4 linked regions of the Struthio camelus genome follow. The protein of the gene in region 2 purifies or fractionates together with the protein of the main gene of each other region. This does not show direct contact. Links are inferred from orthologs where the notes say so. Each region holds a gene or a part of one and is shown on either strand. Other genes may lie near its edges. The genes, in order: FBXW2, CTNNB1, ERBB2 and CTNNA2.

What was found.
Region 1: the proteins of CTNNB1 (region 2) and FBXW2 purify together in Homo sapiens (affinity purification with western blotting; 4 studies listed by BioGRID). This does not show direct contact. The link is inferred for Struthio camelus from reciprocal best matches to the Homo sapiens genes CTNNB1 and FBXW2.
Region 3: the proteins of CTNNB1 (region 2) and ERBB2 purify together in Homo sapiens (affinity purification with western blotting; 3 studies listed by BioGRID). This does not show direct contact. The link is inferred for Struthio camelus from reciprocal best matches to the Homo sapiens genes CTNNB1 and ERBB2.
Region 4: the proteins of CTNNB1 (region 2) and CTNNA2 purify together in Homo sapiens (co-immunoprecipitation; 5 studies listed by BioGRID and IntAct, with this or other methods). This does not show direct contact. The link is inferred for Struthio camelus from reciprocal best matches to the Homo sapiens genes CTNNB1 and CTNNA2.

Annotation. Positions count from the first base shown.
Region 1 is NC_090961.1:188,486-196,533, forward strand, and holds the start of FBXW2 (F-box/WD repeat-containing protein 2), read left to right. Parts: upstream 1-5,002; 5' UTR 5,003-5,119; intron 5,120-6,421; exon of another isoform or gene 6,422-6,514; 5' UTR 6,515-6,534; coding exon 6,535-7,024; intron 7,025-8,048. Other genes in the region: SLC2A8 (solute carrier family 2, facilitated glucose transporter member 8), read right to left, coding at 1-27, 874-1,085, 1,226-1,325, 3,192-3,398, 4,162-4,321, 4,609-4,667. UniProt on the Homo sapiens protein: Substrate-recognition component of the SCF (SKP1-CUL1-F-box protein)-type E3 ubiquitin ligase complex.
Region 2 is NC_090943.1:51,348,257-51,356,223, forward strand, and holds the start of CTNNB1 (catenin beta-1), read left to right. Parts: upstream 1-4,944; 5' UTR 4,945-5,340; intron 5,341-7,967. UniProt on the Homo sapiens protein: Key downstream component of the canonical Wnt signaling pathway.
Region 3 is NC_090966.1:6,625,965-6,633,766, forward strand, and holds the start of ERBB2 (receptor tyrosine-protein kinase erbB-2), read left to right. Parts: upstream 1-4,751; 5' UTR 4,752-4,887; coding exon 4,888-4,963; intron 4,964-7,182; coding exon 7,183-7,334; intron 7,335-7,432; coding exon 7,433-7,619; intron 7,620-7,802. Other genes in the region: PGAP3 (post-GPI attachment to proteins factor 3), read right to left, coding at 169-321, 684-801, 2,212-2,660. UniProt on the Homo sapiens protein: Protein tyrosine kinase that is part of several cell surface receptor complexes, but that apparently needs a coreceptor for ligand binding. Essential component of a neuregulin-receptor complex, although neuregulins do not interact with it alone.
Region 4 is NC_090945.1:83,119,108-83,126,220, reverse strand, and holds the start of CTNNA2 (catenin alpha-2), read left to right. Parts: upstream 1-4,101; 5' UTR 4,102-4,269; intron 4,270-4,668; exon of another isoform or gene 4,669-4,683; coding exon of another isoform or gene 4,684-4,699; intron 4,700-4,868; exon of another isoform or gene 4,869-4,977; intron 4,978-7,113. UniProt on the Homo sapiens protein: May function as a linker between cadherin adhesion receptors and the cytoskeleton to regulate cell-cell adhesion and differentiation in the nervous system. Required for proper regulation of cortical neuronal migration and neurite growth.

The sequences.
Region 1 (8,048 bases), on a different chromosome or scaffold from region 2:
GTTCTTGAACTCTGAGAAACTCAATCCCTGTTAAAAAGATTAAACAGTAATTCAATGAAAAATTCAGTCCTTTAAAGAACAAAGAACTTCCTCAGAAGATTTCAGCCTGTTCAAAACCAGTAAGTTCATCTTTAGCCTAAATGCCCCCCTCCTAAATGCCTCGGTAGTAACATAGTTTACATTTGAACTATCCGAGGACTCCATAAAATCATTTTTTTCTCTTTTTGTCAAGTTCTAGAGACAGTAATTGAGCCACAGTACTGGCAGAGTATATGGACGTATCCTTTGAAAACAAAGTGGTGAATTTAAAAGTCCATGAACGTGAAATTAGATTTCTTCAACTTCTCTGGCACCTTCTTATCTGCCATTATTAAAATAAACCTTTGTAGAGAAAGCTAACATGAATGAATTCATGGCTTACAGACTAGACATGCCTGTTTAAGGAGGCTGTTAAATTTTAACATCTCATTACAAGGGACTAAATTATGCTATTACAGAGATGCAAGAGGACATGTTTGTACAACAGAAAAAAAACTAGGAAATTAGGGTTGGGTGTTGAACAGTCTATAAAATTGTTAAATAAAGTGGAAAAACTAGATAGCTATCACAGAAAATTAAGAACAAGATCATGAGCCTGACTGCTACTCGTGCACATCTATGGCAGTCAATGGCGATAGTAGTTACAGCTGAGAGGTAAGGATTCTTCCAATCTTATTTGCTTCGTAAGTAAGAATTTGGCTGAGGGAATGCGTTTGGACAACCATTTGTAGAAAAGGCCATCAAACTAAGCTATGGTAAAACTCTTAATTACACTACACTTTCATATACTGTCTCCATACACAAAGTTTTTACTGTATATCAGATTCTCATCACCTCCTCCTCAACATTAGCTTCAATCTGCCTACATTCCCATTCATGATCCACATGTGGTCCCCGAAGAAACCGTAAAGAAGCTATGGCTTCTGAACGTTTGTTCTGATTCAGCAGAAATCTTGGTGTTTCAGGCATGAAGGACATGAACAAAAGCATTATGCAGGATGGGAAAGAACACAACACTGCCAGCCAGCGCCATTTTAGTGTTATTCCTGGACAACAAAAAGGAAACAAAGAGGACTATAAACATCCACTGTACAGACAAATTAACATATACTTTCAATTCCTTAGTGTAGTTCTTTTATTACAAGTACTAATTCTTCACTGCAATCTAGAGCCCTAACCCCAATACCTGCAATGTAGGCTCCCAGTATGCCAGTCACCACCATCAGTTGAACACAAGAGCCAAGCATACCACGAACTTTAGGATGAGATACTTCAGAAATATACACCTAAAACACAGGGAGAAAATACCTAATAATTATTCCTATCCAATTTTAGAGCAAGGATTTGAAGAGTAATTCATTTCTGGAAAATATGGGTGTATTTTCCAGTAACTCTTCCCCTCAAAAAAAGTCTCAATAAAATGGAGTAAGTAGAGAAGTACCATCTCAGAAATTCATATCTCCATAATGAAAAACCCTGGAAAGAAGGGAAGCCCTGAAACACAAGAATGCTGATGATGTTTGGTAAACTGCAGTATCAGCATCTCAGAAATGAAAACAATCTTGCAATCTTAAGGACTTACTTTGTTGGCCATAATCAACAAGAAACACATCCTCACAAAGTGGCCTGGTGTTTGGAGCAGTCTTTGCATAGACACATAACCTGAGCCACAGATAAAATTCTTTGCAAATAAAAGTTTGAAAATTTTAATTCAACATAAAGAGCACAAATTATTTCATCTTCCATGAAGGCCCAAATTATCAGCTCTTGTCCAACTACACATTACACAAATAACATCACATCTCATCCGATATTTGAGATAACTTAAACTGCTCAGCTATTTTTTTACATTGATCTCAAGTCCACAGTTACAGCTTAGCTGAATACATGAAAGAGAAATCCCTCCTATCTAGGCATACAGTTCTTCACAAAGTTACAGCTCTTACTTTTTTTCAGATGGAAAACAAGCAACTCTTAGTTCAAAAATTATTTCAAACTAAAATCACAGGGTGTTAAGACATCACACTCCCCTCCCTCATCACTGTAGTCATAAATTTTTTCCTGTTGGCTGCAGGTTAAATCCTTTACATAAGTGAAAACAAAGAGAAAGCAGATGGAACTCTTCCAAAGACACTAATGCACCAGACTAAGAAAGCATATTTTCAACAATAAGTAAGCTACACAGGATTACCAATCTAAATATTTATAAAAATAAAACTAAAAAAAGATTTGAGGGAGGAGGTCCTAAATGATAAAGAATTAGCATTTATTCAACAGTGCGTTAGGAGTTTATCCTTTGATTTTTAGTAGGCATATCACTTCAAGAGCTGGAAATGCTGGACCCACCAGAAAGGAAACAAATGCAAATGTTAGGTGGTTTATTTCATACTGCCACCTATTCAGTTAGATACACATGTCAAATAATACCAGAGAAGGAAGATAACAAAAGGGCATGAATTCTTTCCGTTTCCCTACTGTACAAATATTTCTGAATGCAAGGGAGAAGTTAATGTTCAGAAGGCAAGAGCTGAATCAGAATTCACTGCTTGGCATTGCGCTAGAATGAGACAGCGGCCATAATTTATTTGGCAAACCTAAGAAGTCTGGTGAAATACAAGATATCTTCAGACTACTAGAAGCAGATGGTGATAGCAAAAAACCCTCCCAAAATTCTAATGCTACGTGTGTATGCGTGTGTGTGTGTGTGTGTGTGTGTGTATGCGTGCGCGTGGGCATGTGTGCGCGTGCATGCCTGCGCGTGGGCGTGCGTATATATATGAGGCATTTGGAGAGAAAAATGAATTACTAGACAATAACAAAACAGAAACACTCAGATAAGGAAAAAAGGATTAAAAAAATGAAAGATCACATCACTGTATTATGAATGCATACTGGAATGCATCTAGCGGCAAATGCCACTAGAAGAGACAAAACTTATTTTGCTTGTTTTTAATAAAAATATGAATAAAACAACATGAGATTTTTTTTTTAAATCAGCTTCTTCTAAATCCACAAATTGCATTGGTTACAGTTGCTCAGTTATTTCATCCAAGCCGCTAAGAAATGACAAAAAAAAAAAAAACCCACTCCAACCCAGCATCCTCCCCAAAACACACAGAAAATATGCTAAGCAGAAAAGATGCCTTACTCACCGGAACAACAAGTGAAGTAATTCCACTGGCCAAGCCGGTCAATATTCTTCCAAAATAAAGCATCCAAATATTCTGAGCAGAAATAATAACTATATATCCAGAAACATATGGTATCGAGCACAGCATTAGACTCAGTTTTCTCCCAACTTTATCCACAAGATAGCCTCCCAGTATTCCTCCAGCAGCAGCTCCTAATGTTACTACAGACTTCAGAAGATAAGTTTAAAAAACAAACAAACATATTATATGTATGTGTGTGTTTGTATATCAGACTCCAATTTCTTGAAATATTTTAGAAATTAAATAGCAGCTTCTAAACAAAATATGCAAGTACATAGAGGTGTTTAAAAAAAAAAACAGTTAACATTAACTTCTTTATCAAAACATAGTCCAGAATTACTCCTCACCACAAATGAGCAGCACATAATTTTTAGATTAAATACAAAGACCTTTCATTGAAGAAGAAAAAATTCAGTATTTCTTTTTATCCATCTAAAATGCCATCTGTTCAACTAGCTCTTCAAAATGTTTTAAAGCCCTGGAGAAGTTACAGTCTTAACTAACCTGAAGTTCAGCCTGCATCCAAAAAGCAGGTATTCCCTATGTTGATGGATGGCACCTAATTTATGAAAAAGTTTATCCTCTGTGGTCCCTTAACAGCTACAACTGAGAAAGCTGAGAATTGTGAGAAGACATTTTAGCACCAAAAAGGAGTTCAGTGAATAGGGCCATCTTTTAGTACATGCTGAGAGTCACCAAAGAATAATATCATTGCTATCCAGAAAAGATTTGAACCAACCACTGAGTTTAGGGAGAAAAAAATTAAAAAAAAAAGTCTAGGCTTCATTAGTAACGTTTGCATTTATCATCCTCCTAAAGGAAAGTAAGACCCTGCCATATAAACAACATCTTCTGGACCTACACCTTCAACTGAAGTCACTTAACGGTGAAGAATCCTACAGAGACTTACCCCAAACCACGACGCTTGATTACCGTCCAGTCTTAGTCTAGGATCGTCGGCTTTACTCAGCTCTGGAATAACAGGTGAGCTATAGCCTAGCACGAAGCCAAAGCTAAGAGGTCCCAAGACAGCAGCGAAGGTGGCGAGATACAGCTTCTTGTTCTGCACTCTGAGGCGGGAGAGGCCGAGAAGGATCGCGCCGCCCCGCGTCCAGCCCCGGCGCCCCCGCGCGACGCCCCCGCCCCCCGGGGGCCCGAGCCCCGCGCAAGCCGGCGCCCGCCGGCCCCAGCGGCGCGGGAGGCCGCCGCCGAGCCGCGGGGGCGGCAGCGCCCAGGCAGGCTTAGCAGAGGGCCCGGCCCAGGGCTCGCCTCAGCGGCCTGGCGGCCGCCGAGCCCCTGCGCATCCCGCGCCGCCCCCGAGTCCGCCCGAGCGGCGGGCGGCGGCGCCCGCGCTCACCTCGGGTACGCGCCCGGCACGGGGCGGCCGAGCAGCCACCGGGACTCCTCCGCCGCCATGTCCCGCCCGCAGGAAGCACGTCAGCGCGGGCGCCCCTGCTGCGGGGCGGCGCGGCCGAGGGGCCCGGCCCGGGCGCGGCGGGCAGAGGCGGCGCGGCGCGGCGCGGCCAGCCTCCAGCCGGACGGAAGCGGCCCGCGCGTGGCAGCTGGGAGCGATGACGCCAGAGGCGAGCGCCGGAAGCTGCGGGCGCGGAGAGCCGCGGGTGCTGGCAGCGCCTTCCCTGCGGTGCCGGCCGGTTCAGCGGGGCCCGGCCGCGGCGCGAGCCTCGCCTCGCCCCGCCCCGCCCGCCCGAGGGCGGCCGCAGGGCCGCGGTGAGGGCCGCGGAAGTGGCCGGAGCCCATCCTTCTGCTGCGGGAGCGATGGCCCCGGGGGCGCCCGGGCCCCTGCCGGGCCGCGGGGAGCCGCGCGAGCCGCCTGCCGAGGGACGCCCCGCGCCCGGCCGCCACCTGAGGTGAGCCCGCGGGACTGGGCCGAGCGGCGCCGGCAGCCCCCCGCGCTTTCTGCGTGCGGAGGCGGATGGCGGCGGCGGGGCACCCGCGCGGGCAGCGCGGAGCGTCGGTTCCGGCCGTTGCTTTCCGCATTCGCTCCGCGCATCGCGTACAACAAACGCCCTAGATCTCATTTAATTCTTATCAGTAGGGAAACGGTTAGAGGTTTGTTTGGTCCTAAGAGAATACATGCCTGTTAGAATAGCGAAAGTATCCTTTGTCATGCGTGCTGGGGAAAGCCGGTAAGAGCCGTCCGTTAAAGTTACTGTGTGAACTCACGCCTTGATAGGAATAGCTGTCTATATGCACTTTACACCCAGTACCTTCTTGTTTTTAGCAACAGCTGCTGTTTCTCCGCATACCACAGGCAGCCTTTCACAGTGAGGACTGTGCTTCCCTGTACTATGACTCCATATTTTTAAGAGGTGTATTTTAAAGTCTTATTCGATGAAGATAAAATGCCTGTATAAAAATAAACATGTTATTGACTCCCACTCAGATTCTTCAATTCTTTGGATTTGGGAGCTGTATACTGAATTCAGCCAGTTGTCTAATGGATGGAATTAGCTCTTCCAGAGAAAATAATTAATTATGGCTTTTTAACTGTTTGCCCAATATTTATCTTGTTAATCGTTTATTCAAACTTACTGCAGGAACTAGAGATGCCCCGATGTAGTATAAATGCACATAGTTAAAGAGGTAGTTTTTAAACCCGCAATTTCATAGTTAATTCTGTTCACTGGAAATAAACCTAGAAGATAGGAAACAATTAAAAAAGAAGTGTCAAAACTGATATTATACCAGTGCAATTTACAATAGCCAAATAGTTGGCTAACACATAACTTCATCCCAATTCCTGAGAAATCTCTTTGTATCTTTTTTTAAAACCGCACAGTTACCTACTTTGTATAGGGCAAATGCATGGAGTAAGTTCTGTTAGTAAGTAGCCTCTCATCACCCTATCTGTATGATTTGTTTCCTTCCATATCAATGTTATCCGTGGGTAAACTGTAAGACAATGTTTATTTGCCATAAGTTTAAAACTTGAACCAACCCTGACCTTATTGAATTCAGAATTTGAAAGTGTTAACCTAGAACAAGAAGGATGTTAACATCCATAGTGAATGCTAACATGTACTGGCTCCATACAACTCATATCTAAGTCTGATGTGGGACATCTAATAGTTCAAAGTATTTGCAAATGCTTAGTACTAACCTACTGAATATTTTAAGATGTGTTTGGTCATTTCAGTCCATGTGTTAACATGCAGTTTGGAATATTGATGTACCAGCAATAAAGATGTGATGCTTATCTTGTTTTCTGAACAGAACTAATACAGTATTTTGATGTATCACAGGTAAATTTTTCCATAACCTTATGGAGAAAAAGGACTTTGAAGCATGGCTTGATAACATTTCTATTACATTTCTTTCTCTGACGGACTTGCAGAAAAATGAAACTCTGGATCACCTGATTAGCTTGAGTGGAGCAGTCCAGCTCAGGCACCTCTCCAATAATCTAGAGATTCTTCTCAAGAGGGACTTCCTCAAACTTCTTCCGCTGGAACTTAGTTTTTACCTATTAAAATGGCTCGATCCTCAGACCTTACTCACATGTTGCCTCGTCTCTAAGCAGTGGAATAAGGTTATAAGTGCCTGTACAGAGGTGTGGCAGACTGCATGTAAGAATTTAGGTTGGCAAATAGACGACTCTGTTCAGGACCCTCTACATTGGAAGAAGGTTTACCTAAAGGCTATTTTAAGGATGAAGCAACTGAAGGACCACGAAGCCTTTGAGACATCCTCTTTAATTGGACACAGTGCCAGAGTATATGCACTTTACTATAAAGATGGACTTCTGTGTACAGGTACGAAGTTCAGAAAACTTGGAGTCTTACAATTCTTCTTTTGTCTTTTTTCCCCATGAGATTAGTGACAATTTGAGTTTCCTTAACCAGGCAAGTTATTTTCACAGTGCTGGTGATTAAGGTTTTCAAAATTACTATTTTTGCAATTTCTGAAACACCTGGCACACTAAAAAGCTAACTGGTCACTTCAATAGAAAGACCAAAGAGACTTATTTCTTTCTTTTTTTTTTCTTTTTTTTTTTTTAAATCAATAAAAAGGCCAACAGTGCTGCATATAATTCTTCAGAACAGTAAGCCCATTTGAGAAGTACAGATATGTTAGCTATCCTCTTAGAGGATACCTTCTTCAGATTAAAGGGACCTTGTTTGGACTATCTGATCACTGCAGCCTCCGAAACATGGCAGGAAAATTCTGTTGTCTTCTTCCCAGCATGACAATTTCTGTGGTATGATCTGTAAACTCTTTCAATTCTTAATATAATGTAAAAGCATGTATGAAGACTTGTGAACTAGATCTAGCCTTGCTACTCATCTGAATTACACATTGTAAGAATGATTTCAACTTCCTTCCTAAAAACTGCAGACTCCTAGATTACAGTTTGACTTTAGGAATACAGCCAGACCAAATATGAAACCTTAAGTAAGAAAGAATAGTGACAAAGTTACAGTGAACTGTTGCCAGAGCATATTCCAAGGAATTCCTAACTATGGCACTTGAGACAACAGTGCTATAGAATAAGCTGGGAGTACTGAGTAGTACTCCCACATTTGTGGGTACATTAAGAAGATTGTGAGAAACTAGGAACTAGTCTCCAACAAGTCTTTTGCTTCCCTAGTAGTCAGCAGGGAGTGAAAAATACTCAGGAGGTGGCATTGTCAAACCTTACTGAAAAACAGCTCCCTCTTTTATGCTGAAACCACATGTTGTAGAGAAAAACATGTGAAAGAGTCTAGGGTTTATTCTGCTCTACAAAGCAAGCAGGCTTTGAGTTATGGTTATGCATTAAAAAAAAGTGAAACTTAG
Region 2 (7,967 bases):
CAAGGCTGGCTGAACACAATGATTGCAATTGCTTTAAATTAGGAATACAAAACCCATAATCATTAAGAGACTGGCACATAGAGAGATTTTAAATGAAAACTTAGGTGCTGTGTAATACCTGATAATGACAAAATTTGAAAAAGGAACAATATTGTGGATTTCTGTTTCTCTTCCTCATGCAACAAATGTTACATATAAGCCATCCAGATACTTATTCATTTAGTTAGTAACAATTAAAATATATGTATTTGGTAGATGCAGTGCTTCATCTTGATGCTGTCCCACTGTGTCTGCTGCTTAATCTGCCAGCAATCAGATATTCTGATGAGTAATGCCTCAGCTGCTAAATCAGCTGGAAACTTTTCAGTTTCTGAAACATACCTGGTATATAAAGTTAAACTGCTACAGGCATTCACATGTACTGAATAAAAGAGAGAAACACTGCAATATATGCAATATATTGCATATATTCAAAACTGAAACAGCAAATAAAAGAATAATTTTGTTTTTAATCAGACTTTTGGCCAATTACAATTTTAATTCTGACATTTGGAACAACATTGGCAGAGTACTCCAATTTATCTCATTCCCACCAGTTAACAAGATGTTTTGATCAGTATCTTCTATACTAATTTATTAATAATTGTTACTGTCTCACTTTCACTCAAAATGACTGCAAGCTACACACTAGCATAATTTTATTCCATAATTTTTTGAGAAAAATCAAATCTCACCAGTGTTTTGGAATCTGGCAAATTCTCTCCCTCTTTGTCCCTAAAGAACACGTATTTTACTAAAATTGAGCCTGAGTGGCATAGCTATGTGCTTCAACATAGCAAAGTTTCTGACTTGTATTAATAAACTGTAGTTCTTAAGCATGCAGCAGAAGTTACATTGATTAGTCTTGTATCTCAAAGAATGCTTAAATACTGCTACCATCTCCTTTATTTCACCCTTCATTCCTGTATAAAAGTGCAAATACATGACTTATTAAATACATTACAACTTTTCTGTGCTGGAAGAAGATTTTTTTTTGAGAGGATCAGAATGATTTGGTTTGCTGCGGACAAGTGAATATTTATTTAGTCAGTGTCTTTAAAAATGTGTAATTGATTCTCAAATATGTTCCCAGATTATGCACAGTTAGAAGCCAATTATGCATATGTTTTTAAGATCCATATGGGAAATCAAAGATTCAGGCCCAGAGCCTTAGATGTTTCCGTAATTGGTGATTTTGCTTTGTCCTTATATTAGTGCCATTGCTACTCGTTTGTTACTATGTTCCCTAAAAACACAGCTACATGCCATAATTTCAGAAGGAAAGGTGACCAACCAAGTTTACCTTTAGCTGTTTGTTATTTTTAATTAATGGGCTTCCTGCTTTCTACGGTGTTAAAAGTTGTCTCTGCAAAAGCAGTGCTAAGGATGTTAAAATGAGGCTAACAAAAAGATTTAAATCATTATCTTTTAAAATTTAACCATGAAGCTCTCCTTTGCACTGAGGATTTCTTACTGCAGTGATACACAATGGACATGTTAGAATACTGCTTGACCTTTTGAAAAAAATATGTCTGCGGCATAGTCATCTAGCAAATAGTCACCAAAACAAACCTATTAAAGCATAAAAGAGCTCCAAAGAAACTTCTGAAGCGGCATATACAGAGTGGATGCTTCTTGGGGGAAAAAAAAAGAAAAGTAGAAGAAGAAAAATAACTGGATTTTTGTGAATTCATTCATGGAAGCCCTGCACTGTAATATCCAATATAACATTCACTCTTCTCGCTTTGACACTGGACCATTTCACAGTGTATTTTAGAAAATTTAGAAACATGAAATGTATTTTAGAAACATTTTGTAATTGAAATAATAGTATTATAAGTCAGAGTTCATCCTAATTGCAACATTTCCAGCTATTAAGGTATTTAGCTTTCCTAGGGTAGTCTTTTTAAAAAGGTGATACTTTAGAAAATGATTAGGTACCTAATAGCTAAAAATTGCAAAGCTAAAATGAACCTAATTTCTATTAGCATCATGTCTAGATCCAAAAGCATCCTAACCACTCTGCAATGAAACAAATATAGTTTAAAATTACAACAAACCACGCAAGAGTAAAACAACTCAAAATCAACAAGAGCCTACCATTATGTGCTAAAGGCCTTATGAAATTCATATAAATATATATAAAAAAAAAAAGTTGTATGTTTTAAACCTGTTTGTAAATGGGCTAGTTCCAGCAGTCCTCATCAGGTGAAAAAAAGCAGTCCATACTTCAGGGGCCAGAAGCAAAGACACAGGCTGTACCCCTCCTGCTTCTGCAAAATCCAGGCTCCAAAAGCCCCATCCTTGCAGACCTCAGGGGGTGGGATGGCACACAAAGAGGCTCTGAAAGGTATCTGGGACCATGCAACGCATCAAGGGCGTTTGACTGATTCTACTGTTGTTATCAAGTACCCAATGGAATTGCTGATGGTGAATTTGGCAATAATACCCTATAGAAACAGCACTTTGAACTTATATAGCACCTTTGATCCAGGGATCTAAGAGGAGAGGTCTGTCATTATTATTATCCCCATTTTACAGAGGGTGAAACCAAGGCAGACATGATTTTCCCAAGGTTGTACAGGAAAGCAGCTGAGAAAGGGAGGTGCACAAAGAACGTAGCTCTTCCCCCCACATCTTTTTTTTTTTTTTTTAAATGCACCAAACCAATCTCCAAGCACGCTTTCTCAGATTCGTAAAAGCAGAATCAAAGTTTTTGTGTCAAGGATGGCAAGGTCTGCCGCTCACAGCAGCACGCTCCTGCGCCATGCAAACACACCCTGCAATTCCCCTGGAAGCTGATCAGCGTTTGCCGCCTGCAGGCCCTGATCCGGCAGCATTTGCTTTGCCTACTCTGGCTGCACAGTTCTCCTCCTTCTTGCCCTCCTTTCAGCCAGTGTAGCCAACGTGGGCAACCGTCCTAACAGGAAATGGTATGACAAGGAAAGCTGTATTCCTTGACCCTCTAACTTCAAGTGTATCCCAGACGTACTTCATCCTAGTGAGGGCGTGAGGTCGCCCAGTGCACCAGGAGGCTGGTGGGTGGTAGATTGCTGCATGTCCTGCAAAGGCAGAGAAGAGTGGAGAGCAACCAAGGAGTTTGGGGTATTTTTAGTTTTTGGGGGGGGGAGTTGGTTTGTTTTTGCGTGTGTGGCTTTTTTTAAGCACTGCTGCCTTCCCAGTGCTTAAACCGCACTGCTTCACTAGTGACAGCTCCTCTGGCTCTGGGACCCCTGCATCAGTCCCACTGGGCCACAGCCTCATGTGGTTGCCCCATGCCAGGCCAGGCAGGCAGGTACCCCAAAACTCTCCCAGGTGCTGCAGTGGACCAGGGTATTTTGTGTGCAGCAAGCCCTACACCTTTATTTTATTTTACTTTTTGAGCAGGGAGAAATCCCATGTTCAAAAAGTGCTGGTGCAATAAAGCAGTTGATGTGAAAATCAGGTAGCACTGTCAAAGAAGTCCTTTAGCCTAAGACTACTACACATTACATTACTAAATAAATCAACAAATAGGGGGAAAAAAACTTTTAAAAGTGTAACTTTCTGAGCCTATTTAAAAGAGTATTATCTTTGGAAAAGCAAGCACACAGGCGGCCTCTCTGTGAACCATGCATCTCCCCAGCGCAAGAGCCACAGCAGCTAGAGGATGGTGGGGAAGGAGAGGCTGCGTGAAGCCCTCCAGCACGAGACCAAGTATTCAATCCCCACCATCCCCTAGTGCCAAAGCAAATCTATACTGAGAGGGGAAAAAATAATCCATCTTTCACTATAAAACATCTTTCATGTTTTATATAAACACGTTGGTATATACACTCCTTGTTTCATGCAGCGGTGCACTTTCGGGGGTATGTTAAACAGGCTTTGCCTGTGCAAGACGGCACAGGCAAGAAGTCTGTAAAACGTTTTGCTGCGCAAGCCCGCGGACGCCGAGGAAGAGGCAGCCACATACGTGCCTTCACAAGGCTCCGCACGCCGCGAAAAACCTTGTGCAATTCATAATATTTTCCTGTTTTTACCACTCACTGAAGAGACGAGGGGTGGGCGGAGGACCGGTGGGGGGGGGGAGAGGGAAGGGAAGGAAAACCTGCTTCTTCCATAGAAAATAAATAAATTGCATAACGAGATACTTTCTTTGGCAACTGCTTCCTGACAAATATTTATAAGGGCAGAGCGGAGCGCGTTTCCGCCGACGTGAGCGGGCCCCGCCGCCCCTGTCCCCGGGCTCGCCCCAGCGGCCGCAACGGCCCCAACGGCCGCAGCGGCCGCGCGGCCCGGGGCGGGCAGCAGCTGCGCCGGCGGCCGGAGCCGAGCGAGAGGCCGGTTTTAAGGCGTTAACGCGGCCCGCGAGTCCTCCGCAGTCGGCGACGAGCCTTGGGGAAAACCGCAGAGTTTCCCCTCTAGTTGGCGGCGTGCGCACCCCCCGAAATTTAAATAAATCAGTGAATAAATAAAACCCACTCCCAGAGGCCAAGTGGAAGCGGGCTCTCGCACCCCCCACCCCACCCCCCGCGCATGCCTCGTCCCAAAAAATTCGCACTGTTTTGCCCTGAGGGAAGGGGACCCCCAGGCTAATCCCCTCAGCTCCTCCACCACCACCGCTCGCCGCCGCCGCTGCCTCTCCCCCGCCTTCAGGCAGCAACTTCGCTCGCAGCCTTAAGCTCGCTCCTTTCTTCCCCCACCGCCGCCGGGGTACGCTGCCCCCCGCCCGACCCTCTGGCCCCGGCCCCGCCGCAGCCACCCTGCCTCCCCCCGCCCCGCCGCGCCGCCGCCGCCGCCGCCGCCGCCGCTGCTGCCGCCGCCGCCTCCCCCCCTGCTCGCGGCCGCTTCCCTCCGCTACTGCTCTCTGTCTCCCTCCGCCCTGGGAGCCGGGCACTATTTCTCCTCCCCCCTGCTCTGTGCGCTGGGCGCCTGTGGAATGCTGCGCGCTGGGCCCGGCCGCGGCGGCAGGATACAGCCGAGCCCGGCGCTCACTATAAGAACCTCCTTGTGAGCGACGCCATTTTAAGCCTCTCGCTCGGTAACGGCGGTGGGAGCAGCAGCGGCGCTTGGGCGAAGGGGGACTAACACCGCCGCCGCCCCGCACGGCTGCTACCCGGGAGGCAGCGGCGGGGGTGCTGCCGCCGCCAGCAAAGAGTCGAGCGAGGAGGAAGGGCGGGGGGGGGGCGGGGAAGAGAAAAAGGAAGGAAAGACGGACGGGACCGGGATCGCCCGGGCAGCAGCAGCCGGAGCCCGGGGGGACCCTGCGCTCTCGCCCCCCTGCGACAACGTTAGTGCCACTTTCTGCGGCGGGAACTTGGGGTGAGCCCCTGCCGGCCACCCTCCTCCTTTCCCCCCCCCCCCCCCCCGATGGCCGCCGGGGCGGGCGCCGCGTCCGGTGGCCGTTGGGGGGTCCGGGGTGTGCCGGGCGCTGAGGCGGGAAGGGCGCGGGGCTGGGGGTGGGGGGCGCTGCTTGGGTGGGAGAGAGGCGGGTGGCCGCGGGAGGTGGGGGGTTGGGGAGCGAGGGAAGGAGGACAGGAAAGGAGGAGAGGGCTCTTGTTTTGGGAGGTCCGGACAGCTGCGTGGCCGCAGGAGGCGGCAGCTGCAGCTTCCCGAGGTGTCTCTTGGGAAGCTCGTCCTGGGCCGAGGGGGTAGTTGAAGGGGTCTGTGGGAGGGGGCGAGACTCTGCGATGCGGGTCTGTGTGCGTCTGTGCTCCCCGCTGGGTTTGCGGTCGAGGCCGGAGTAGTTTCGTACCGATTTTTTCTCCTTTTTTTTCTTCCTCTTTTTTTGAGGGGAGGGGAAGGAGGGAATGCTGACTCGCCAGTGGGCTCCAGACCACAGCAGTGACCGGGGAGAGGAGGGGGAAGAGAGCAGGGGACGGATTTATCTGTACCTTGTATAATTAACTAACCACGGTCACTGCAGTCAGAGGTAGATAACTAATCTGTTGACTTGTAGGTTTTCTGTCGTAGTTGCATGCGTGTTTGTTGGAGAGGTTGTGCTCCTTCTGGATGTCTTCGAAATGAAGCTCCCTGAAGCTAGGAGCAATCAAATTAAGTTTTTAACACCCACATTACCAGAGTCTTGCAGAGGATGACTTAAGCGATGTAGGGGCTCCCCTGTTGAAGGGGGAAGCGCCTACTCTTCGTGGCCGACCGGGGGGGGGGGGGGGGGAAGGCCCTCCAGCGACCCAAACCAAAGCAGTTCTGAGCTGTGTGAAGCAACTTGCTCTTACTGTTGATGGAAACTTATTTCTGACTCTATGGAACAAGGAGCTTCAGATGTATTTTTCCCCAGCGGCTTAGTTGAGCTGTCTTTTGTGCATGATGGGTTCCTCTTGGGGCAGTTTGATTTCTTAAAAATCTAGCAAAATCTTAAACTCTGATCTAACTAAAACTTGGTATAAGACCTCTTGCAGTTTCTTTTTGAATCGATTGCTTCTGGGAAGAGGTGTTCTTGGTACAGTTTTGGGAAGAAAACACAGGCTATGGAGGCAATATCAGCAATTTGTGACTGTGAATAGCAATGTTAATCTTTGCAATCAGCTACTTTTTCTTGATCTCTTTCTCATGGAGCAGCCATTGTTCTGACACTCTGTATATTCCAGACATCTGTGGTCCTCCCATCCCCCAAAGTATGCAAGTGGTGAATGGAAAGAGGCTGGGCTGGTATGCTGAGGTCGATGGAAGGAAATCAAGGAGGGGTTTTAGTAAAACAGGATCTTTGTGCTGAGAATATAGTAAAGGCATAGAGTAGAAACTTACCTGAAAGAGAGCAGGATGTTCTTGATCCTAAGTTCAAGCACACTGGAGAGCAACTTTATCAGTTATGACTTTGCTCTTGATTGGCAAAGCTGTTACTGCGAATCTTTAAAACAGCACAAAAGGCAAATTCACTGGTGTCCACTGAGCCAGGTAATAATGTGAATTTCAAGTAACTGACCACTCCAGGAACCTAATGTTAATCTTGCGCTTTCACCTTTTTTATTAAAAGGTGCTGACAGCTGTAGGTATCATCTGACTGTCAGTTGCACGATCGCTGGTACTGTTGAAAATAAGGCTACTTAGATGTTCAGACAAGGCTTTGAGTCTCTAAATTCAGCTATTGTATACAGAATCATATTAAATGTCTTGCTATTTTAGGGGTCATTCTACAGAACTGTCCTCTTTGCTTGGCTATAAGTTCAGATAACTTGTATTTAGGTGTAAACTGATATGCTTGGGAGTGTTCGTGTTGGTCTGTGGCTGCTTCCTAGGGTATCAGGGAGAAGTGTAAAAACATGCCAAACAAAAGGATAGTATAAAATAGATTGTAAAAGCAAGGGTTTAATTCAGGGTAAGGCTTAATCCAAAAGTCAGCTAGTTCTTAACGTTCAATGTTGTTACATCCTCAGTAAACAATTTTTTTTTTCTTGCCTGAGTAACAAATACGTTGTCCTTCTTGCTTGATATGTAGTTTGCTATTTGTGCTATGGCTACATAATGTGTCAGTAAATGGTTTATCAAATCTTAGCCCTGAAACTTAGTTGCCTTTCAAATGGAAGGTTTTCTTTGTAAAATGTATCCATTAGTCTTTCATGACTTAGCATTCCCGAAAGCTCATATCTAACCCTTCAGAAAATAATTTCTGATGAAAAGAGATAAAAATGAGTAATACTGCTGATCTTCTAAACTAATTTGGGGGTATTTTGAGGTGTGGAGAGGACAGGCAGCAAGAGTGAGACAGGAGAGGCAGCTATTGTAAGCTTTAGCATTGTAAACTGAAGTCTGAATGTGCAATGTAAAACTCGTGCATGAAGTTGTTTTTGCAAAATATGGTCTAGTATCTAGACTAGTGTGCAAATACAGCAGTAATCAAAATCATTCATGCTAATTCAAAGTTAAAGCTGGTAACACAGGGGTTGTGATGATTGTGCAGTTGGTTGCAGCAAAACTTGTTCTGTGACTTT
Region 3 (7,802 bases), on a different chromosome or scaffold from region 2:
GTATTCAAGGTCCCCGTGAGAAGGGAGAGACGACGTGGGCTAAGAGGGGACCCCTGAAGGCAGCAGGGAGGAAGCAGGGAATGGCTTCTTGCCACTGTCCTGCCCTCCCCGGGCAAAGCGTCACAGCACAGGCGCCTGCGGCAGCAGGGAAGGTGCCATGCGGCTCACCCAGGCGAAGGTGATGCACGTGTGGTACATGGGCGAGGAAGGCGGGACGGAGGCTTTGTAGCGGTGCAGCATCACAAAGCTGGCGAGGCCATTGAGGAAGGAGGCGAAGGCAGACGCGGGCTCCTGGAAGAACAGGAAGCGAGAGAAGGGCCACTAGAACAAAAAAGAGGAGGGAGACGGACGACAGAGACGTTAGCGGTGTGGATCGCACTATTCCGCTGGCCACGGCTCTCAGCAGCTGCTGGCACAGGCCTCGCAGACGTGGGAGCCGGGCTCTGGCTGGGGATCAGCACCCCCATCGCGGGGGGCCCCCCCCATGGGACTCAGGCCCTGATGCTGGAGCGGCCCCGAGGCGTCTCGAGCACGCCTGGCGCCGCGGGAAGAGGGAGCCCCTGGGTGGTGCAGCGGCTGAAGGCACGGGATGGGGGAGGACAGCCTGGTGCGCGGGGCGGCCCCGGGCCTCGGGGGCACGTTTCCCGCATGCGCGCACGGCGCTGGGCGCCGGCCCGGCTCACCTTGCCGTGGAACTGAGGCACTTTGTAGCCGCCCTGGACGTAGACCTGCACCGTGAGCCACATGCACTCGTACTTGCAGTCGTCTCGGCAGGTCCAGCCTGCAGCGGCGGGAGAGGAGCTGGCGGCCAGCACAGGCCTCCGAGGACGGGGAAGGGTCCCTCGGGGGCTCAGCCCTTCCCGGGTACCCCGTCCCCAGTCACAGAGCCCCCTCCAGTCAATCCCAGTGCAGACACCGGTGTGACCGTTAGGCAGCGCAGCCTGACCACCACCGCAGCTGGGGGCTCTGGGGCCCAGCTCGAGGCAAGGAGAAGCCCACTGGGGGTTGCCCTGCCCAGTTGGGGAGATCCCCACTGTCTTGGGCACAGGCAGGGGCAATGTCCAGGCTCCAGTCTTCCCCAGTATGCTCCAGTGCCCCCCAGCAAAGCCCAGCACAGCCCAGTGCCCCCCAGCATACCCCAGTGCCTCCTCAGTATAGCCCAGTGCACCCCAGCATGGTGCTGCACCCACCAGTAGCACTCAATGTCTTTCCACAATGGTTCAGCACTGCCCTGCAGTCCCCAGCACAGCCCCAGCATGGCAGAGCACCCCCTAGCATGGCCCCAGTAAGGCCCAGTGACGCCCAGCATGCCCCTAGTATGGCCCAGCAAACCTCGGCACGGCCCAGCGTCCCCCAGTATCCCCCCAGCATGGCCCAGTGTTCCCCAGCATGGTGCCAGGATGGCCCAATGACCTCCAGCACGGCCCAGTGCCCCCCAGCACGGCCCAGTGACCCTCAGCATGCTTCCAGGATGGCCCAGTGTCCCTCAGCATGGCCTAGTGTCCCCCCAGTATGGCCCAGTGACCCCCAGCATGCCCCCAGTATGGCCTAGTGTCCCTCAGCATGGCCCAGTGTCCCCCCAGCATGGCCCAGTGAGCCCCAGCATGCCCCCAGTATGGCCTAGTGTCCCTCAGCATGGCCCAGTGTCCCCCCAGCATGGCCCAGTGAGCCCCAGCATGCTTCCAGGATGGTCCAGTGCCCTCCAGCATGGCCCAGTGACCCCCAGTATGCCTCCAGGATGGCCCAGTGTCCCCTAGTGTCCCCCCAGTATGGCCCAGTGACCCCCAGCATGCCCCCAGTATGGCCTAGTGTCCCTCAGCATGGCCCACTGTCCCCCAGTGTCCCCCCAGTATGGCCCAGTGACCCCCAGCATGCTTCCAGGATGGCCTAATGACCTCCAGCATGGGCCAGTGCCCTCCAGCATGGCCCAGTGACCCCCAGCATGCTTCCAGGACGGCCCAGTGACCTCCAGCATGGCCCAATGACCCCCAGCATGCCCCTAGTATGGCCTAGTGTCCCCCAGTATGGCCCAACGACCTCCAGTATGGCCCAGTGATCCTCTAGTACGGCCCGGTGGGGCCCCACAGCCCCGAGGCCGCTCGCCCGCCCCGTGCGAGGGAGGGGGCGGAGCTTCCGAGGGGCGGGACCTCGGCAGGAGGCGTGGCCTCGCCGCGCCCAGCCAATGGGTGCGCGGGGCGGGCCCGGCCGTACCTGTGAGGCTCATGTAGAGCGGCTGGCGGGCGCGGAAGTGCCGCAGCGCCGCCCCGGAGCAGTTGCGCCGCTCGCAGCTGGCCAGGCAGTCCCGGTACAGCGGCTCCCGGTCGCCCTGCGAGCCGCGAGCCGGGCCTGGCGCCGCCGCCGCCCCCAGCAGCAGCAGGAGCGCGGCCCGAGCGGCCCCCCGAGCCGCCATGGCCGCCCGGCCCCGCCGTTTCCGGCCGCTGCCCCGGAAATGGCGTAGTGCCGCGGAGCACCACGGGATATAGCGCCCCCTCCCCAATGGCGCCGCGGAGCACCACGGGATATAGCCCCCCCCCAAAATGGCTGGGGAGTATAAGGGATATAGCGCCCCGCGTTGGCCGGGGAGGATCACGGGATATAGCGCCCCACTGTGGCCGCGGAGGATCACGGGATATAGCGCCCACCGCAACGGCTGGGGCCATCAGGGGTTATAGCGCCCCCCGATGGCCGTGGAGGATCACGGGATATAGCGCCCCACTGTGGCCGCGGAGGATCACGGGATATAGCGCCCACCGCAACGGCCGGGGGCATCAGGGGTTATAGCGCCCCGCGATGGCCGCGGAGGATCACGGGATATACCGCCCCACTGGGGCCGCGGAGGATCACGGGATATAGCGCTCCGCCGGGGGGGGGGGTCACAGGGCCGGGGTCAGCGCCATGGCCGGCCCCAGGGCCTGGTGGCTCCCGCCGCCCCCTCGTGCCCCAGACGGTCCCGGGTTGGGGACAGGCGTCAGCTCCAGGCCACCTCGGCAGAGACCCACCACCTGCTGCCAGGCTGTCCCCCTGTCCCCATGCCCTAGGACTGGCCCCACACCCCAGGGCTGTCCCCATAGCCTCGGATTGTCCCCCTGTCCCCAGAACTGTCCCCACGTCCTAGGACTGTCCCCACATCCTAGGATTGTCCCCATGCCCCAGGACTGTCCCCATAGCCCAGCACTGTCCCCCTACCCCAGGAATGTCCCCATGCCCCAGGGTTGTCCCCCTGTCCCCATACCCCAAGGCTATCCCTGTGTCCCCATGTCCTAGCATTGTCCCCCTACCCCAGGCCTGTCCCCATACTCCAGCACTGTCCCCGTGTCCCCACACCCCAGCACTGTCCCCCCGCCCCAGCACTGTCCCCCTGCCCCAGCACTGTCCCCGTGTCCCCCCGCCCCAGCACTGTCCCCACACCCCAGGAATGTCCCCATGCCCCAGCACTGTCCCCGTGTCCCCCTGCCCCAGCACTGTCCCCCCACCCCAGCGCTGTCCCCATGTCCCTACACCTCAGCACTGTCCCCCCACCCCAGCGCTGTCCCCATGTCCCCACACCCCAGCACTGTCCCCACACCCCAGCGCTGTCCCCGTGTCCCCACACCCCAGCACTGTCCCCCTGCCCCAGCGCTGTCCCTGTACCCCAGCACTGTCCCCGTGTCCCCCCGCCCCAGCACTGTGCTCCTGCCCCAGCACTGTCCCTGTACCCCAGCACTGTCCCCGTGTCTCCCTGCCCCAGGGCTGTCCCCGTGTCCCCACACCCCAGCACTGTCCCCATACCCCAGCGCTGTCCCCGTGTCCCCCTGCCCCAGCGCTGTCCCCGTGTCCCCACACCCCAGCACTGTCCCCATACCCCAGCGCTGTCCCCGTGTCCCCCTGCCCCAGCGCTGTCCCTGTACCCCAGCACTGTCCCCCTGCCCCAGCGCTGCCCCCATGTCCCCACACCCCAGCACTGTCCCCCTGCCCCAGCGCTGTCCCCATGTCCCCGTACCCCAGCACTGTCCCCGTACCCCAGCACTGTCCCCGTGTCCCCCTGCCCCAGCGCTGTCCTCCCGCCCCAGCATTGTCCCTGTACCCCAGCACTGTCCCCGTGTCCCCCTGCCCCAGCGCTGTCCCCGTACCCCAGCACTGTCCCCGTGTCCCCCTGCCCCAGCGCTGTCCTCCCGCCCCAGCATTGTCCCTGTACCCCAGCACTGTCCCCGTGTCCCCCTGCCCCAGCGCTGTCCCCGTGTCCGCACACCCCAGCACTGTCCCCGTACCCCAGCGCTGTCCCCGTGTCCCCACACCCCAGCACTGTCCCCCTGCCCCAGCGCTGTCCCCGTGTCCGCACACCCCAGCACTGTCCCCGTACCCCAGCGCTGTCCCCGTGTCCCCACACCCCAGCACTGTCCCCACACCCCAGCACTGTCCCCGTACCCCAGCGCTGTCCCCGTGTCCCCCCGCCCCAGCACTGTCCCCCTGCCCCAGCGCTGTCCCCGTACCCCAGCACTGTCCCCGTGTCCCCACACCCCAGCACTGTCCCCCTGCCCCAGCGCTGTCCCTGTACCCCAGCACTGTCCCCGTACCCCAGCGCTGTCCCCGTGTCCCCCCGCCCCACGACCGCCCCCCCAGCGCCCCGCGGTGCCCCCCGCGCTCTCCCCCCGCCCCCCCAGGAGCGCCCGGGCCGGGGGCGACGCCGGCGGTGGCAGCGGCGGTGCCCGGGGCAGCGGCGGCGGGAGCGCGCGCGGGGGCGGCGGCGGGAGCGCGCGGCGCGGCCCCGCGAGGCGGAGCCCGGGAGCGCGGCGGGAGGAGGCGGCGGCGGCGGCGGCGGCGGCGGCGGCGGCGGCGGCGGCTCCGCGCCGCAAACTTTGGCGGAGCGGCCGGCGCGGGGGCCATGGGCCGCGGCCCGCGCTGAGCACCATGATCGCCGCCGGCGGCTGCTACCTCGGCACCGGGCTGCTCCTGGCCGCCCTCTGCCCCGCCGCCGCCGCCGAAGGTGGGTGCGCCGCTGCCGGGGCCGCCGGGGACACCGGGGACACCGGGCCGGGGCCGGGTCCCCCCCCCCTCCCTCCCCTCCCTCCGCCGGCGGCAGCCGGACTCGGCGCAAAGTTGAGCGCGGGGCGCGATCGGGGGCGGCTCGGGGTGGGGGGGGGGGTGTCGCGGCAGGGTGTCCCGGGGGGGGGACAAGGGGGGTCCCGTCGAGCCTGGGGGGGGGGCAAGGGGGTCCCGCTGATCCCGGGGGGGGGCAAAGGGGGTCCCGTCGAGCCCCGGGGGGGGCAAGGGGGTCCCGCTGATCCCGGGAGGGGGGGGCAAAGGGGGTCCCGTCGAGCCCCGGGGGGGGCAAAGGGGTCCCGCTGATCCCGGGGGGGGGCAAAGGGGGTCCCGTCGAGCCCCGGGGGGGGCAAGGGGGTCCCGCTGATCCCGGGGGGGGGGGAAGGGGGTCCCGTCGAGCCCCGGGGGGGGCAAGGGGGGGATCCCACCAAGCTCGGGATGGGGGGGGGACAAGGGGGTCCCGCTGATCCCAGGAGTTGGGGGACAAGGGGGGTCCCACCGAGCCCCGGGGGGGGGAGACAAGGGGGTCCCACTGAGCCCGAAAAGGGGGACAAGGGGGTCCCGTCGAGCCTGGGGGGGACAAGGGGGATCCTGCTGATCCCAAGAGCTGGGGGGCAAGGGGGGTCCCGCCGAGCCCAGAGTTGGGGGGGGTGAAGGGGAGCAGAGACGGGGTAAGGAGCACCCCCCCCCCCAGCCAAAGGAGGGGGGTCCCGGGGCGGGGGGCGCGAGGGGAGGTTGAGGCCGGGGGGGGGGTTCTCGTCGCCGCCCCGGGGCCGACGTCGCCCCGCGCCGTACGGCCAGACCCGCCACCCCGGCGGGAAACGCCGGCCGCCCCTCGACGCCGCGGGGCACGCGGACCGGGGCCGGCGGCGACGGGGACGGGACCCGCTCGCCGGCAGGCGTCGACGGCACCCGCCGGCCCTTGGCACCCCCCCCCCCCCCCCCCGGCGCGGCGCCCGCCCCAGACCTTGAGCTTCGGACCCGACGCTCGCTGCCAGGCGGCGCGGGGAGGAGGGACGAGATGGCGGCCGTGTCGTCCCCCCCCCCCCCCCCCAACAGGGCAGCTGCCGGGCCACCGGGCCGCTGTCACTCAGCCGCCGGCCGCTCGTCCGGCCTCCCCTCCCCGCTCGGCCTCCGCCGCCCTCCGGCCCTGCCTCGGTTTCCCCGCGGCGTCCAGGCCGCGCCGTGGGCCGCCCCCCCCCCTGCCTCCCCACCATCCAACCCCCGTTGTCCCTAGCAGACGGATGCCATGCCGGGCCGCCGGCCTGGCCCCCACCGAGCGGCCTCGACGGGGAAACCGAGGCCCCCGGCGGCGGGATGGCGGCGGCCCGGCCCGCCCCTGCGTCAGCCGCTCGCTCCCCAAACATGCCCGACCTGAAAAGGCGGTTCCTGCCGGGGCGAGCCGCGCCGCCGCCGCCGGCCGCGGGGGCCCCGTGCCACCCCGCCGGCCGTGACTCAGCCGCCCGGCCCAGGGCGGGCACCCGTGGCACGACGGCGCCAGTTCTCAGCTCACCACCCCCCCCCCCCCAAAACCGGTGCTGCTGTTTTTGCCCGGGGAGGGGGTGTGTTGGGGGGGGGGGGTGTCCCCAAGCAGTGTCCCCACCGCGAGCCCCACGGCCGGAGTGGACACCCTGCTCGCTCCGGGAGGGGGCCGGAGGCCGCCGGCGGGGCCGGCCGGGGGCTCCCGGCATCCGCCGCCGCTCAACAATCGGGTCTTGTCTCGGCGCTCCCCCCTCCCCGGCCGGCGTGGGCAGAGCCTTCCCGCTCCCGCCCGGCCCCGGCGAATCCCGGCGTTGGCGGGAACGTCGGCCCGGGGAGCCCCGCGGCTCCCCGACGCCTGCCCCAGGCTGGCCCCCGCCGCCCCGCTCCCACCTCCCCGGACCGGTTCCCCAGCCCGGCTCGGCCCCGGTGGGGTGCTGGGTCCCCCCCCCCCCACCCCGGGGTGCTGTTGTCCCTGGGGTGGGGACGGCCACGCGGGACGGTGGTGGTGGTGGGGGGGGGGGAGCGGCGGTGCCGGAAGCTTATAGGAAGCTGTTGGAAGCGGCTCCGGAGATCGCTGGCGGCGGCGGTGGCCTCCGCGGCATTTCCTGCGGAGGCCGGCGCTGCCGGCTCGCGTTCCCGCCGGTGCCAGCGCCGCGCTGACGTCCCGCTCTGTCCCCGCAGTGTGCACCGGCACCGACATGAAGCTGCTGCGTCCCTCCAGCCCCGAGAGCCACTACGAGACGCTGCGGCACCTCTACCAGGGCTGCCGGGTGGTGCAGGGCAACCTGGAGCTCACCTACCTGGCCCCCGACGCCGACACCGCCTTCCTCCAGGTGAGCGGGTCGGGGACGCCCCGAAGCGGTGGCACGGCCGGGACCCCCCCCCCGCCACTGCCGGGGACCCTCACGCGCCGCCCCTCCGCCCCGCGCAGGACATCAAGGAGGTGCAGGGCTACGTGCTCATCGCGGAGAACCGGGTGAGCCGCCTGGAGCTGCGGAGCCTGCGCATCATCCGGGGCACGCAGCTCTTCGAGGAGCGCTACGCCCTGGCCGTGCTGGGCAACGCCGGCCCCGCCGGCACCCCGGGCCTCGGCCAGCTCGGCATGAGGCACCTCACAGGTGGGCAGCGCGGCGCGGCCTGCTCCCCGGGATGCTTGGGGGGGGCGGTGGTCCCTCTTCGGGGTTGGATGCTCAGGTTGGGTGTCCCCATGGGGCTACCAGTCCCCCCAGCGGTCCCTGCCCGGGGCTGGGTGTCCCCTCTGGTCCCTGCAGAGCTGCTGGTCCCCACCTGGGGCTGGGGAG
Region 4 (7,113 bases), on a different chromosome or scaffold from region 2:
ACTGCAAATCGCCTACAGAGCTCATAAGGCACTGTGTTTCCTCCTGTACATCTATCTCCCTGGTTGATCATATCACCATTACAGATCTAGGTCCTATATTAATGCCTTTCAACAACGATCCTATTAATTTGCCTAATGGCCATTCATGTAGATAAGGACTTCTAAATGTAAGTGAGAATTTTAGTGGTGACTGCTTAGCAGGTACAGCTGGAGCCAAATTAAGAAATATATAAGCATATGCTTATAACGTACCTTATATATATAAAAGAAATTTAAGAATGTGTTCCACTTTTATTTCTCTGTTCTCAGCATCTCTCTCAACTTCAGAGGTCATCCACCAACAGCACAGGTGCCAAAAATGCTGCTGGGCAGGTTCTGAATGGCACATGATAGAGTCCTGAGTGAAGGCCTCATCAAAAGGCAACACACAAGCAGCTGAGACTCCTGGACTGCTCTGTGGAGATGCAATATATCCCCAAGCCAGCAATTGACTGCACCTTGCCTTTTTCAGAAAAAGTGTGTTTGAGCTTCTACTACATTTCTACTGATACACCTTACCTCTAATCTATGAAAGAGAAATGAAGTGCTTGCATGCCATCCTTGCCAATCCCTAGTTAGTTTATTATTCTGTTGCTTATATGGGGCAGACTCACATTCCTGCCATACAGGCTGAGGGAGGGATGTTTTGTAGCTCCTCAGTATGAAGAGGAAGGTAAGTCAGATCAGGCCAACTGTGGGGGTGGAGGCAGTATTGAATAAAAGGGTTTGAAGGCACAACTCTTGAAGTGCAACCTCCAGCCTGAAAGAGATCAGCTGGGTCCAGCTGGGCTGTGTAAGTGTGGCCACCCTAGGGAGAGCCCAGTCTGGCAGCCCAGAAGCTTCTACAGGTTTTATGGCTACTGGTCTAGCAGTCCAGAAGCCATAAAAGCTCAGCTGCAGGTTCATCAAGCATGTGGTGGAGTTAAGGCTGTGGGATGCCACCTGCTGCAAGAACCCTGACTCTCCAAAGGGCCTTTTGATCAAGCCAGATAGCTGCACACCTATGACTGGTGCGTGATTATGCGTATTTATGGGTCTTCAAGTGGGTGTTTTCCTCCTAATTCTGCACACCTCCCTTCTCGTTCAATCAGATACACTCTCAGTAAAGCTAAATTGAATGCATCTTGTATCTGACTAGTTACTCTTTTGAGTAACTACATATTGCAGAAGTCAATCTGCATGACAATCTGCATGACAATCTTTCATAAAGGAGGGTTAAACTGCCAACAGGGGCCAGGTTCACTAAGTATAAAGCATGCCTTGTTTGTATTTATTTATAGCTCTTGTTCTAAATAGTCTTATTTTCTCTGTATATAGAAAATATTTGGGTTCTATATTCTGGCAGACAGTTCCACAGTTTGGCATAGCATTTAAAAAAAGCACACACGTGCAAAGAAAATCCATGCATGTTTCATTTACGTCGAATGGTCTTTCTGTGTGTCTTCCTGATCAACCTGCCCAACAGTCCTAATGCTTTGGTGATGTCTCTTCTCTATATGTTGCTGAATGCTGTCGCTGGGAGATCCCATGGCAGTTGGAAGCGTTAGGAGTTCTCAGTTGGCCTCCCTTGGCTGGTAAGAGCCACATTCATTTATAGAGCAGCTTAGCAGCATATCTCAGTTTTTAGGTGAATAGTGGTAACAAAATCAGTTTTTTTTCCTTTTCTTTGAGACCATTACAAGTGATAAAAGAAATAATAACGGTAGTTTCCGACAGTTAATATCCTAAAGGAAGAAGTAAATGTCTAAATAGTGGACAGAGCTCTCTTTCAGGGCCTTGGGGAGGGGGAAAAGTTTGTACAGCTCTTCCAGATTTTCAGACTTCTTTATCACATTCAGGCAGACCTCTTAGCAACAGGCCAGCAATCCACATCTCTGTCTTAGATAAAAATAATCTGGACCAGGTAAATAACCTGATTTGTTTCTCACACAATGATACACTTTAAACAGAAATATGCCTAGATTTTTTAATGCGTCCTTTGGTTCAAATTTGCAAGAGATGTATGCATCTTATTTCGTGGGGAGAGGAGAGGTTATATCACTTTTCATAATTAGGTGTTATTTATGATTTGTAGTTCTTATATGTTCTCTACAGCAAGTTCATGTCAATTAAATGCCTGGAGAAACACTTAGTTCCCATTGCAATTACTGATGTAATGCATTGTGATAAAGGAGTAGTTTACTATATTCTATGTGGGCAACTTTGCTTGTTGCTATTTATATTCAAAATATGCTAGCTCTTCACAGCATAAAGTAAGGCACTGTCCCTACCTAGAAGAAGTAGCAATCTGAAAGACAAGGCTACAGGAATGAAGGCTAGAAGAAGGTCAGTAAGTAAAGTTTTGCTAATATCACATGGCTCGATTCACTAGCATGGCAAAGATGAAACAGTACCTAGAAAAGTAATTTGATGCAACTTGCAAGCCTACTAAAGACACAAACTAAATGCACAGCTTGCAGCAATAATTTGCATATCATCCTAAAGGGTAGGTCAGCCTAGCATGGTCTCTGTGTATGCATACTCTTTGTCACATCATTTGCATGCACAATAGATTGTGTTTCTGTTTTAAATGATACTGTCAGAAGGCTTAAATAATTCAAAGTACTTCTGTAAACTACTGACTGCAACTACTTACATGTGTTATATGACCATATGAAGTATAAGCCATGATGCATCTCATGTTGTGATTCACATTTAAAATGAGTTCCTGCCTAAGAAATCATTTTCCCTGCTGTGGACTCTTCCAAGGACTCTGTTGTTGTGCCTTGGTGGAGGGAATTGGGGTTCCAAGACAGCTCCCATCCTCATTTAATCATCGTAAAAAAGCGAAGGTAGACCCTGACAGCATCTCTCTCCAGCTGAGGGCGAGAGAAGAAAAAACTGGCAGCTGCTGCCTCTTCGTGAGGCCCGACAGATATTCCTGTACTGGTAACATCATTCCCTACAGGCAGCGGGAGAGGAATTATTTTGGTAAATCCCATCCAAACCTAAAACAGGCAAGGAAAAACCTGGACGGCCTCATACCCCCTCCCTTCCTCGCTGCCCATGAGCTCATGCCTAAGTAGGAGAAGCAGATGGCTCCAAGAGCAGCGGATTCGTGGAGCGACAGCGCGTAAGGAGAGTTCACACCACCTCAAAACGGCCCAGTCCCTCCAACAGGACGCAGCCAACAGGACTCGGCAGCCCCAGGGACCGACGGCGGGGCGGTTTTGGAGCACGCACCGTACCTGAGGAACGGCAGAAGGCGGCGATGCCATCGAGGGCAGCGACAAACAGCTTGAGCTTGGTAAGCGCAGTAAGGCCGCTGAGGAAAGGGAGGAATGAAAACATACTGAGCCTTGACCGCCAGGACAAAACCTGGTGTTCGGTGCACGGCATTTGGGGCTGCACGCGTTTGGGGCTGTCACAAGCGACCGAAGTTTCTACAGCTGAAGAGAAGCGGAGGACCAACGCTCTCGCGCCCTGCTGTCGTTAACGCTAGAGCGGTTACCTTTTCTCAGCGTGCGGGAAGGGGGGGAGCAGGGATTTCAAGAAATCCTCGAGCTAAACCCCACGTGGCTCCGCTCCCAGCTCCTCGCACCGTCCCCAAAACCCCCAAGAGCAGCCCCGCGCCCCTCCGCCCTGCCTCGCCGCCGACGCAAGATGGACACGCCGCTGCGCGGCCGCGCTACTTACCCTGCGGTGTCCCTGGGGCCAGGCCATGACCCGGGCCGGGCTCCCTCTGCCCTGGGCTCCTCTCCAGCCCGCCCCGGAGGGCTCGGCCGGCCGCTGCTCACCCCTCGGCTCCCCCCTACGCGGCCTGGCGCCAGCCCCGCCGCCCCTCACCTCGCCTCGCACCGCACCCCGGCCTCCGCCGGCTAACGCCGTCTCCGTACTCACGGCACCTGCGCACAGCGCCGGCGGTAAAGGCCTCCCCCCCCCCACGCCCCGCCACCCCCTCAGCGGGCAGCTCCCCGCGCCCGCCCGCCCGGCGGCGGCAACAGCGGCGGCGGCGGCGCAGGCGCGCTGCCTCCTCCCCTAGTGGCTGCCGCTGGGAGCCTGGCAGCCGCCGCGGCAGCTCCCGGGTCCCCTCAGAGCCGAGCGAGCGAGCGCGGCTCGGGCCGGCGGCGGGGGCCGGGCGCTGTGTGAGGGAGCCGCGCCGCGCCTCGCGCCCAGCCCGTCTGTAACGGTCGCTGCCGAGGAGGCGGCGGCGGCGGCGGCGATTCTGCCACCCCCACCCACCGTGCTGAGGTGAGGCCAGGGCAAAGCATCCTCCTTTCTTCCCCTCATCCTCCCCTCCCGCTCGCCCCTTTCCCCCTCCCGCCTCGCCGAGCTCCTTCCTTTCATCCTCCGTCCCTTATCCTCCTTCCCCCGCCTTTATCTCGCCTTCCCCTCATCCTTCCTCGCGCTTCCTGGTCCTCCTTTCCTTTCTTCTCTCCTTAGCCACCTTTTCTCCCCTCCTCCCCATCCCCCAGACTCCTTCTCCCCCCTGCCCACGTTTCCCACCCACCAGAAATCATAATCATCCGCTCTTTCTCTCTCTCTCTCTGTCTTTTTTTTTTTTTTTTTCCTTTTAACCGCAATTTTAATTTTCGTCCGGCGGAAGAGGGAGAGTCGGTCACAGACAGAGATAATCCCCCTTCTTCAAAGAATGGATTTGAATTAATGGTCATGTTGTGGTGTGCGTATGATGGGAAGAGGGGGATTATATTTAGGGAGAGAAAAGGCAGGGTCAGAGGGGTGTTGCTTCGCTTATCCATTTTTTTTACCTCGCATGGCTTCGAGGCGAAAGGCAGCTCCGTGCTGTTTTCCTAGTCTGGCTCTTTTTATTCTCCTTTCTTCAGGCACCGGAGGTTTCTTTCTCGCTCTTTATCCATCCGCTGTGTGCCTCCGTAATTCAGAGCCGCCGCTCCGGTCGTCCCTGCGCGGAGCCGCTGGGAAGGGGGTCGAGGAGAGGCGGTGCGTGTGGGCAGGGGGTGCTGAGGGCTCGGGGAAAGCAGCTTTTTACAGCCCTTCTCTTTAGGCCTCTTCCAATTTCCGAGACGCTTCAAACCACCCGCTTAATATTTGGGTCCGGAGTCCAGCCCGAAAGGTCCCGGGTCCTGTCAAAGGGGTTTGCTCTGGCGGTGGCGAATTAAAGTTCGTGGGGTCTAAAATACAGCTTTATGTTTATGGGGAGCGCGCAGGAAATATCGGAAAGATTCGTGAAGGTTTGGCTAAAAGGCGACCGCGGGTGTCTCGTGCCTGGCCGCAGAGCTGGCTTTTGGGGTGGAAGAAGTTTTGCTTAAACATGGTGGTGGTGGGAAGAGCGTTTGTGCTTTACCTATCGCAAGACTTCAGCTGCTTCGCCTGTTTGGGAGTTTGTGTTGCGTGAAGTGTAGCGCTGGATATGATCTGGGGACTACCAATCTCTAAAGGGTACTTGAAAGTAACTTTTACACGTTTACGGTGATATGTAGCATCAGGAATATGTAACACGCACCTGCTCCTCAGTATGTCGAAGGGGTGAATGCATTCACTCCTGTCTTGCTGGTTGTATGTGATGTCTGTTTTTAAGGTGCTGTTCAGCACTTAAAAAGCTCTGTGTGGATGCTGGGTTCCCCCCCCCCCCCCCCTTCTCCTCTTCATCAGCTATGTAGTAGCAGAACATTTACAGCTTCAGACAATTTCATCCTTTTCAAGCTTGCGTTTACTGAACTAGGAGAAGTTTATTTGTACTTTGTCAGGAGAAATGTGTTTCAAAACCCCTGCTATTTTCTAAATTTATAGGTAATATAGCAGCCAATACTGTAGCAAAACTCTCTTGGTCTGAATAATATAAAACCCTGCACGTTATGCACTATCTTGGCATGTGCTTCCTAAGAAATGTTGCTTCTATCAACTTGTCAAGATTACAGGAAAAACTGTGTGTTTTGGAGTGGATGGTAGATACGTAACGTAAATAAGAGCAGACTTAAATGAGGTTGCTAATGAGAACAACAGCTCTTAGAGGCTTTGTGGCTATTTAAATGCTTCTGTTTTTCTTTTTTTACGTACAATTTTTATGATTAATACTATATGTTGTATCAGGTTTTTTATATTCCAGTTTAAACAGAATTCTCTCTAGAAGAGTGAAAGTGCTGACCTGAAGGATGAACTTTTACAGTTAATTATGAAATCATTGTTTAGGGACTACTATAGAAATAATACTGCTTCAACTGCGTATAAGATATTTGTAATTCCATTGATGGGTTTTGTTGATGACAAAAGCCTCAACAGGAAAGCTCCAGAGGCTTGTCAGTGTTACTTGAGCCCTTATATGGAAATACAACCCTAATTTATGTATACTGTTGAAAGCTCTTTTTTAATATTAAAACTGAATGTGTATGGTACTACTGAAATGCCTTTGAAAACCAAGAGCGTTCACAGACTGAGACTTTAAAGCCAAAGGAAATAATCAGCTCTTCTTCTACTGTGACTTTTTGACCATTATAGTCTACTGGATTTTGTCCAGTTACTTTTAAATGCAATAACTTGTATTTGGCTGAAACATATTTTCCAGAAAAAAATGGAATTTTGATTGGGTGGAGAATCTACTATTTATAAAATTATTTGGCCTCAGCGTCCAGTTACTGGTTATTGCTGTCTTTCTCCACTCTGCTAAAGAACTCGGAGTATTCTTTTACCCTGGATGCAATTATCTGCTGTAACCTAGTAATCTTTCTCTTTGTCTTAATAAAAACACAAACGGACTTAGATCCTTTAAATTTGTCACTGGGGTGTTTTCCTCACAATTTCATTGTTGTGGCTTTTTTTCCAAATCCACTTCCACGTTTTCAACATTTTTGTAGAAATATGAACTGGATGCAGTATTCCAATATCTTGTCTCATCAGTGTTTTGTGAATTTAAAAATTACCTCTAGTGTAACTCTTCTGTTTATATATTACATTTACATATTAACCCTTCTGTCACAGCAGCACATTTTGATTTCATTTTCAGTGATCATGCTCATTGTGACAAATCTTTTCAGGACTATTCCTTTCCACAAGAGTTCATTTTTCTGTAGGCTGGTGTGCATTTCTTGTTTGTAGCTTTATAACTTTGTGTTTATTTAA